Xenopus tropicalis: one gene and its partner. The main gene of each other region encodes a partner of the protein of the gene in region 2 in a complex. Links are inferred from orthologs where the notes say so. Each region holds a gene or a part of one and is shown on either strand. Other genes may lie near its edges.

What was found. The genes of interacting proteins can lie anywhere in the genome.
Region 1: tox4 (region 2) and wdr82 share a complex: the UniProt entries of both Homo sapiens proteins name them as parts of the PNUTS-PP1 phosphatase complex. The link is inferred for Xenopus tropicalis from reciprocal best matches to the Homo sapiens genes TOX4 and WDR82.

Annotation. Positions count from the first base shown.
Region 1 is NC_030680.2:128,228,481-128,232,643, reverse strand, and holds the start of wdr82 (WD repeat-containing protein 82), read right to left. Parts: upstream 2,850-4,163; 5' UTR 2,642-2,849; intron 987-2,641; 5' UTR 957-986; coding exon 796-956; intron 1-795. UniProt on the Homo sapiens protein: Regulatory component of the SET1/COMPASS complex implicated in the tethering of this complex to transcriptional start sites of active genes.
Region 2 is NC_030677.2:141,986,814-141,990,466, forward strand, and holds part of tox4 (TOX high mobility group box family member 4), read right to left. Parts: intron 2,209-3,653; coding exon 2,140-2,208; intron 1,688-2,139; coding exon 1,445-1,687; intron 808-1,444; coding exon 547-807; intron 447-546; coding exon 219-446; intron 1-218. UniProt on the Homo sapiens protein: Transcription factor that modulates cell fate reprogramming from the somatic state to the pluripotent and neuronal fate. In liver, controls the expression of hormone-regulated gluconeogenic genes such as G6PC1 and PCK1.

The DNA of each region.
Region 1 (4,163 bases), on a different chromosome or scaffold from region 2:
GCAGGGGTCCCCAAACTTTCTTACTCGTGAGCCACAGCCAAATGTATAAAAACTTAGAGACAACACAAGCATCATAAAAGTTCATGGAGATGCCAAATAAGGGCTAAGATTGGCTATTAGGTAGACTCTATGCACACTATCAGCTTACAGGAGGCTTTATTTGGTAGCAAATCTTGTTTTTATTCAACCAAAACTTGCCCCAAGCCAGGAATTCCAAAATAACTACCTGGTTTGGGGGCACTGAGAGCAACATCCCAGGGGTTGGGGAGCAACATGTTGCCCCGAGCCACTGGTTGGGGATCACTGACACACTGACTCTATGCTTACTACGCAATGTGTGTATGTGCCAATCATAGCATTCTTATTCACAGGGGTGGAACAAAAAAGAGCACGTACAGAGGGGATCACTGGGGTGTAACATACTATGCATAGGGCTGCTGTAAATGTGAATCAATACAGCTTTACTGTGCTTTACTACTGACATTTTCAGCCTATGTTTTGTTAGGGCAGAGCTGTCCAACCAGTGTGAACATGTACCCTAATTTCCATGTCTGCAGGCATACCCTGTCTCGTCTACCTGTGCTACAGTACTGGAAGAGAACGATACCCTTAACAGTGTCTATACAAAACAGGACCAGCACATGGAAATATTTTCAAGGGGGGTGTTCTCCTGTGATTTATTAGTCAAAAGTGAAAACACAGCATTTAGGGGTGAGCTCTTCAGTCAGGTAAATATGTTTGCTGACATTAGTTCCCAACATAAAAAGGTATTTTAAATATCACATATGTACTTACTTCCCCTCCTGGCAATCATAAAGCACAATTGAATCATCGTCGCTGCTGGATATGACTGTTTCACCAGTTGGACTAAAGTCAAAGCAATTTATTTTATCAGAGTTTTCCCGGAAGACCTTTGCCACACGGAAACTTCGGAGCACATTATCGGTGAGCTTCATGATGACCCAATGTGCTGGGACAGCAGGCCCCTGCAAAAAGGGAAATGATGAATGGTTAAGAAATTTGAAACTAGAAAAAAAAAACCAGATGGCTGTTAGGACATAATTAAGTGGGCACTTATATATAAACTGTTCAAATCGGGACAAAATCCTATATTCTGCAGTAGTGCATAAGAACATGAGGGGGGTTAGTAAGTAAGTGCTCATTTCCCAGTTACATCAGACCTCTGGATTAGTCTTATGGTTAAAAACTGGCCTTTGTACATCATTAAAAAGCAATCTGAGTCTATCAAAAGACCACTAGTACCCCAACAGCATTTGACTGGACACTGGAAGTTGCAGTTCAGCATCTCTAAGGCAGATGAGTTACCGATTCCTGGTCTAATAGACAATGCCACATCTAGATTTCCCCATAGAGTTTTAATGATATTAGAATATTGCCCTAGTCACTGTCTGTACAGCCTCTGCATGGCATTTAATATGGGCTTGTGCAGGAAGAATAAGCAGTCTAGGTCAATAATGTGGGAAAACACATTCTATATACCCAAAAGACCACAATACATATAATCATTATGACCCCATAAAGAGCTTCAAGCTCCTAGCACCTAACCCTAATAGGTCAATTTCTCACAGCATTTAACTGCTATCACAGACCCCTTTACTCAAGAAAATTCTGTTTATGCAAATGTTTAATTAAGCAGTGCATGGATTCCCACAGATTAGTCTGAACTTCTAAATACTGGTCTAGTCTGGGACTCAAAATAGGCCCAAACAGTCCCCAACCAGCTCACTGAATGGTGACTGCCTATAGTAACTTACAGCAGCCCCTCTGGCATTTGCAAAAATCCACAGATTAACAGTCCAGGCCTGCCTACATACAGCAATATAATTAAAGTTACATTAAATGTGCAGCGGAATTCAACAAGCTTTCATGTGATGTCAGAGGTTCATGTGTATACTCAGCGGAAAACAGAAAATGTGTTTATACTTGACGGCATAACGGTGTTTGTCTTAAAAGGCAGAGGTCTAGATACTGGACTGTAGGCGAGAATAAAATGGTTTAGCCAAATGTTAAGCACCCAAAGCAGAAGGAGCAAGGATCACCTCTAACTTTACCACCATTTAGGTTTGTGTATGGGCGGGATTACTTGCTTACGTTCCAACAAACTGGAAATGGGGGAATACTGCCCTTTATAGATGGAATGGGAGCCCTGATCACTGAAGAAATTCTGGTGTTCCAACTAGTAGTGATTCTCCAATTCATGAACTGCAACCCTCATCTACCATGACTGCAGTTAAACAGCAGCTGAAAGGCAGAGACTGGACATCTCTGATGTAAAATGTTTTCAATATATAGAATTCCTTAAAAGATGAAACATATATTAAAGGTTTTATCAAAATTAATGTCCTAACAGAGCCCTATAGTGCTGGGGGCTTAGTGCAAACGCCCCCCCTGAATGCTGAAAGGCATGGACCACCTCCTTTGAAATGCTAAAACTAGTAAAACACACATACTGAGTAGCTGATTGGAAATAATATTCATTCTTGTGGACTTTGTCAGTTCCTACTGCGATCCCGGGCAATGTGGCTGCTAATCTGCCGTAAAGCACTTGCTATACTAGTCAATGTACAATAAGCATGGGCGGGCATATAAAGCTGGCTCTAGTATCAGATATATGAACAACCTTTTAGAAATAGGCCAGACAGAACGAGCAGTTCCTTGCGAGTCGAGCCACGTTTTCAGGAGGACCCGGGCCTTACGAATGGCAGTATTTACCCTCCCGAAAGTTAAGAGAAGCTACTTTATACGTTCCTTCCCGATCACCAGCTTATCGGCGCCTGGTAGTTGTGCGACATTTGGGCATACGGATCGCGCGCGTTCCTACATTCTCATTGTCTCCGCCATGTTATTTCTGAAGCCGGGAAGGAGACAGCCCGCTCCTGGAAAAGCGTCATGTGCTATTGGCTGATTCAGGGGGTAGACGCAATACGGAAACGTCTCTGGCGTCATGCGTAACGACGTCCTGCAGGATAACGCCTACAGAACGGCGCCATGGCGGAAGTGGTTTTACGGTGTCGCCATGTTGATTGTGGCAAGAGAACTCGTTCCAGGCTGGTGTGCGAGGAATACTCGTAATGTCCTGAAGCATTCTCGGGTTCGCCCAATCAGTCAGTAAAAGAGTGAGAATACATGCTTTCAAGTATTTTTTTTGAAGTGTCAACATTCTCTATTTGTCCATGGGGAAGCAGTGGTAGGCAATGTAATGTGCGCCAGCTGCTGTTGGCTACAACGCTCACAATGCAGCCATGCGCAAAGGCTGACTAGTGTTCAGTGTTCTTAACAGTGTTCTTTGTGGCCTTGACTAAATACTGGTAATTGGTGTAACTTACTGCAATTATTATTAATAAAGAAACGTTGTCCACTTGTCAAGGTATCAATAGCAATGGATGTGCTGAATCCAAAATTCTGGGATTTGGCCAAACCCTGAATCTTTAATGAAAGTTTCGGCTGAATACTGAAACTAATTTGGATCCTACTTTGCATAAGGCTATGGAAGGATTCGAGAGAACCGCACGTGCAGCGCGTGGTTAAAAATGTTCAAGTTCCATGTTCATTTGACAAAAAAAATCACAGTTTTAAGGATTTGGTTCAGCCAGGTACTTGGATTTGGCCGAATCCTAAACCTAATTCTGGATATGGTGCATCCTTTCCAACAACCCATAAATCCTCAGGCCTAGGGGTTCCAACAAGCAGGAAGAATAAGCAGCTTCAGTAGAAAATCAAATACAGTTCTAGTCCAGGTCTCACCAGTTTAACTATGCAGGCTGGATCTGTCAGTCGTGCTGGGCTGGGGGAGCACCATGCACCTGTAGTCTGGAGGAGTCCGACACTGGACTTTTGGTTTTCCTGAAACTGGGTTGTGTGGTAATTTGTGAAAAATAAAGCTTGTTGTCAGTAGGGATGCACCAAATCCAGGATTCAGTCCTGGGCGGAATCAGAATCCTTAAAATCATGGGACTTTTCGCCACATATAAGCTGAAGTAGAAAATGTTTTGCTGCACATGGTTCTTTCTTGTGCATTCTGTTCCTTAGGTTGCATATGCAAATTAGGATTTGGTTCAGTATTTGGCAGAATCTTTCACAAAAGCATTCGGGGTTCGACTGAATCCCAGTATAGTGGATTCGGTGCATCCCTAGTTGTCAGT
Region 2 (3,653 bases):
TCTGTTATCTGCTATGTAACCTGTGCCTTTTCTCCTTTTTTCCAGCTTGAATGGCTGCCCCCGGGGCTACACAGCAGCTACACTGTGCAGGGCAACAGTGCATTATATTTTTATTACTTTAAAGCTCTTTCATTTTTTGGTGTTACTGTTCCTTTAAAGCAGTTTTAGAACAAACACACAGCAATGCATTGTAAAAATCAATGAAGCGACCAAGTCACCTGTTTTTGCTCCTCTCCTAGACTGTCCCACATAGATGCCACAATTTTTGACACCTCCCCGAAGGTAGCATTGGGGTTTTGCCCCTTGATGGCAGCTTGCGTGTCACGGAAAAACAGAGCATATGCAGACAGTGGTTTCTGTGGCTCATTTGGGTCTTTCTTTTTTTTCTTCTTGGGAGTTTTTGGCTTCTTGGCTTGCTCCACAATTATGTTTTTAGGGGCTGTTATCTGTGGAACATAAGTTTATTAAAACATCATGCTAAACAAGAAATACAGTTAATACAGATAGAACACAAGCAACAAATATGAATTGTGAATTTCTGCTAACCCTTCTGAAGTCTTCCATATCTTCATCATGCAAAGAACTTGTTGGTGATGGGGTGGGGGAAAGATGGTCCTCAGGAGACTGGACAGGATGCAGGATAGCCCCTCCACCAAGGCTCAGACCAAGTTGGGAGCTCAGCTCTGATTGATCAATAGTGGTAAGCTGACTGTGTCCCAGAATCCCAGATGACATGTCTGTCATTGATACATCTATGGTGACAGGAGGATTTGCACTGTAGGGTGTGACTATGGGATGATCCAAGTCCTGTATGCAAAACAGAATAACATGTAAAAATTTGTTAACCATCATAATTTTAGTTTTACCTTATGCTTGCAGCAAGGTTCTGTAACAGCTGGGAGAGAGTACACATGTTTTACTCCCAAGAGGAATCTGATATTAGTGCCACCTTACACTGTACTAAACAATTTAAATTTAGCCTTTGGTGAAGCAATAAAAAGAACTAAAATGAGGGCAGGAAATAAAAGTTGAAAAAAGTTGCTTGTTTTAAAAAAAAAATTAAAATCCACCTGCTTGAGGATAAAAATATAGAGCTTTAAGAAAAAATGTGCAAACAGTTGCAACAATATGTTAGATATCTATTACTGCAAAGGAAATATAACTCTCTCTAATAAAATTAAAACAACATGAAAACAACTCTCTCAAGATTACTCCCTCCAGTGATATCTGTAGCATACCTAAGCTTATTAAGACAGAATACCACCATATCACCTCATGAATAAATAAGTACTGTTTAGGGCAAGCTTAGTAATAGTGTAACCTTGCAGTTAAACCTTTTGCTTGTGAAGATATCAGTTAGTCCTCAGGTGTAGTTTTGCATCTACATGAGTAAATGTGCCCCTCTCTAGTTAATTTATTTGGCGCAATGACAGGAAACCCTTACCATAGCCAATCCAGCTCCAAGGAGCCCTCCAGTTTGGTCCATCACTTCATGGGTCATCTCAACCGGCATGTCCAAAGTCTGTACACCATATTGTGTAGCAAAACCCTCATCCTGCACTCCAGAAGGGTCTCCAAGGTCATCAAAGTGACCAACTACATCAGATACAGCCAAGGAGGGATCAGAATCCAGAGAGATGGGTGGAATCTCAAACTCCTCATCCCCAAGGCTGGGTGTGTGAAAAGTCTGCAAAGAGATAATTTAAAAAAATAATTGCGAGCCGACAAAATGGGTTATGTTTCAAAGATGGACAAAGAGTTAACGGAGTAAAATTTCACTAGCAGAAAGATATTGTTTCATCTTGCAGGTCTGCAAATGCTGCAAACTAACTAGATTTAGGGTATGAAAATGCAAGGAGGGTCCAACAGTCAGGCATTACAAAGCAGAACATCTCTAATCTTCCTAAAAATGTACATTTGAGATACACCAGTTAAATAATTGCCTATTTTTCTTGCTGTGTTAGCAACGGCACTGGGACAAAATCAGAAACCAATCTTTTGGAATTCTTGTGAAAATCCTCATATTTATATGCTTATACCTATTTGATCAAATCATAAAGCTTACAACATTGTTCCTTCTGCAAATTCCAACAAGGTCAACACCATTCAGTAGACTTTATCCTACATCATTTCACATACCTCTGTCCCTGTAAGAAAAGGGTGTCCTGGCCCTGTGATTGTAAGGTAATTGTCGCTGCTCCCCGGAAACTGCAAGTCAGAAAGAGAAAACATAATAAGGAGAAAATAAAGGATTTTTAAAGTATGTGCCTATTCCAAACCTTCTGTGCAACTGAACCTTTTTCATAGTTCTATATAAACATTTTTGAAAGCTGTAAAATACAATGGGCACCTGTTAACAGCATGTCATGTCCTACCCTTCTTGGTACCTGAAATAAGATGCAGTTTGCACAATAAAAGTACAAGGTATTACAACAAAGAATATACAAAAGATCAAGCAGCACTCTCTCATCTGTAATGTCTCCTCCGTTCATGATAAAGATGCAGCTTTGTATATGCCTTCTTATCTTTGCAAGATGTATGCCAGGCATTCCTGCCCTGCCAGTCTCAGATCCAGCTGAATTTTTACATTCCGTGGCACTTCCTCCACATTCCTACAGGAGTGAACTGCAGTCCTTATTATGTGCCAAATTTGCATCCAGCTACTCCGGCTTTTGTGAGGGTAAATGTAGACCTATACAAACCAACCTTACAGAGCAAAGAATGACTAAGCTTAAAGGGATTTTGTCATGATTTTTATGGTATGGTACTTTTTTATTTTTAAATTAAAATAAAATAATTTTACATAGCAAATAATTCACTATCATTTAAAATGTTATTCTTGAACCAACAAATGTATTTTTTTCTAGTTGTAATATAGGCATGTAGGCAGTCATCTCAGTGCATTGTGCCTGAGTCTGAGTTTTCAGAAGGAGCCAGCGCTACACATTAGAACTGCTTTCAGATAACCTATTGTTTCTCCTACTCCCATGTAACTGGAGGAGTCCCAAGCCAGACTTGTATTTCTAACTATTGAGTGCTACTCTGATATCTACTGGGAGCTGCTATCTTACTACCTTCCCATTTTTCTGTTGATCGGCTGCTGGGAGGGGGGTTATATCACTCCAACTAGCAGCTAAGCAGTAAAGTGTGACTGAAGTTTATCAGAGCACAGGTCACATGGCTGTGGCACTCTGGGAAATGAAGAATATGGCTAGCCCAATGTAAAACTTAAAAATTAAATATAAAAAAAGTTTGTGTTTTTGAAAAACGGATTTCAATGCAGGATTCTGCTGGAGAAGCTCTATTAACAGATGCATTTTGAAAAAAAACATGTTTTCCCATGACAGTATTCCTTTATCATCCTTATCTGCCTGCAGCCTGCAGTTCTATAGTACCATGACATAAACGCTGTCCATACAGAACATTTTGGGTAAATTAACCTCAACCTTAGGGTAAGAACCCACAGAGGTTCAGTCGCCTGTGATAGATCTCTGCTATCATGGGCAACAATCCTCTCTGAAATAGCTTTCCACCAGCAACAATAGAAGTCAGGCGACGAAACCGCTCCATGGGTCCTTACCCTAAAGGATTTTTAGAAGAAACTTTGTGCATATCATGTTATCTAAAATGCAAATAAGATGTGCATATAAAGC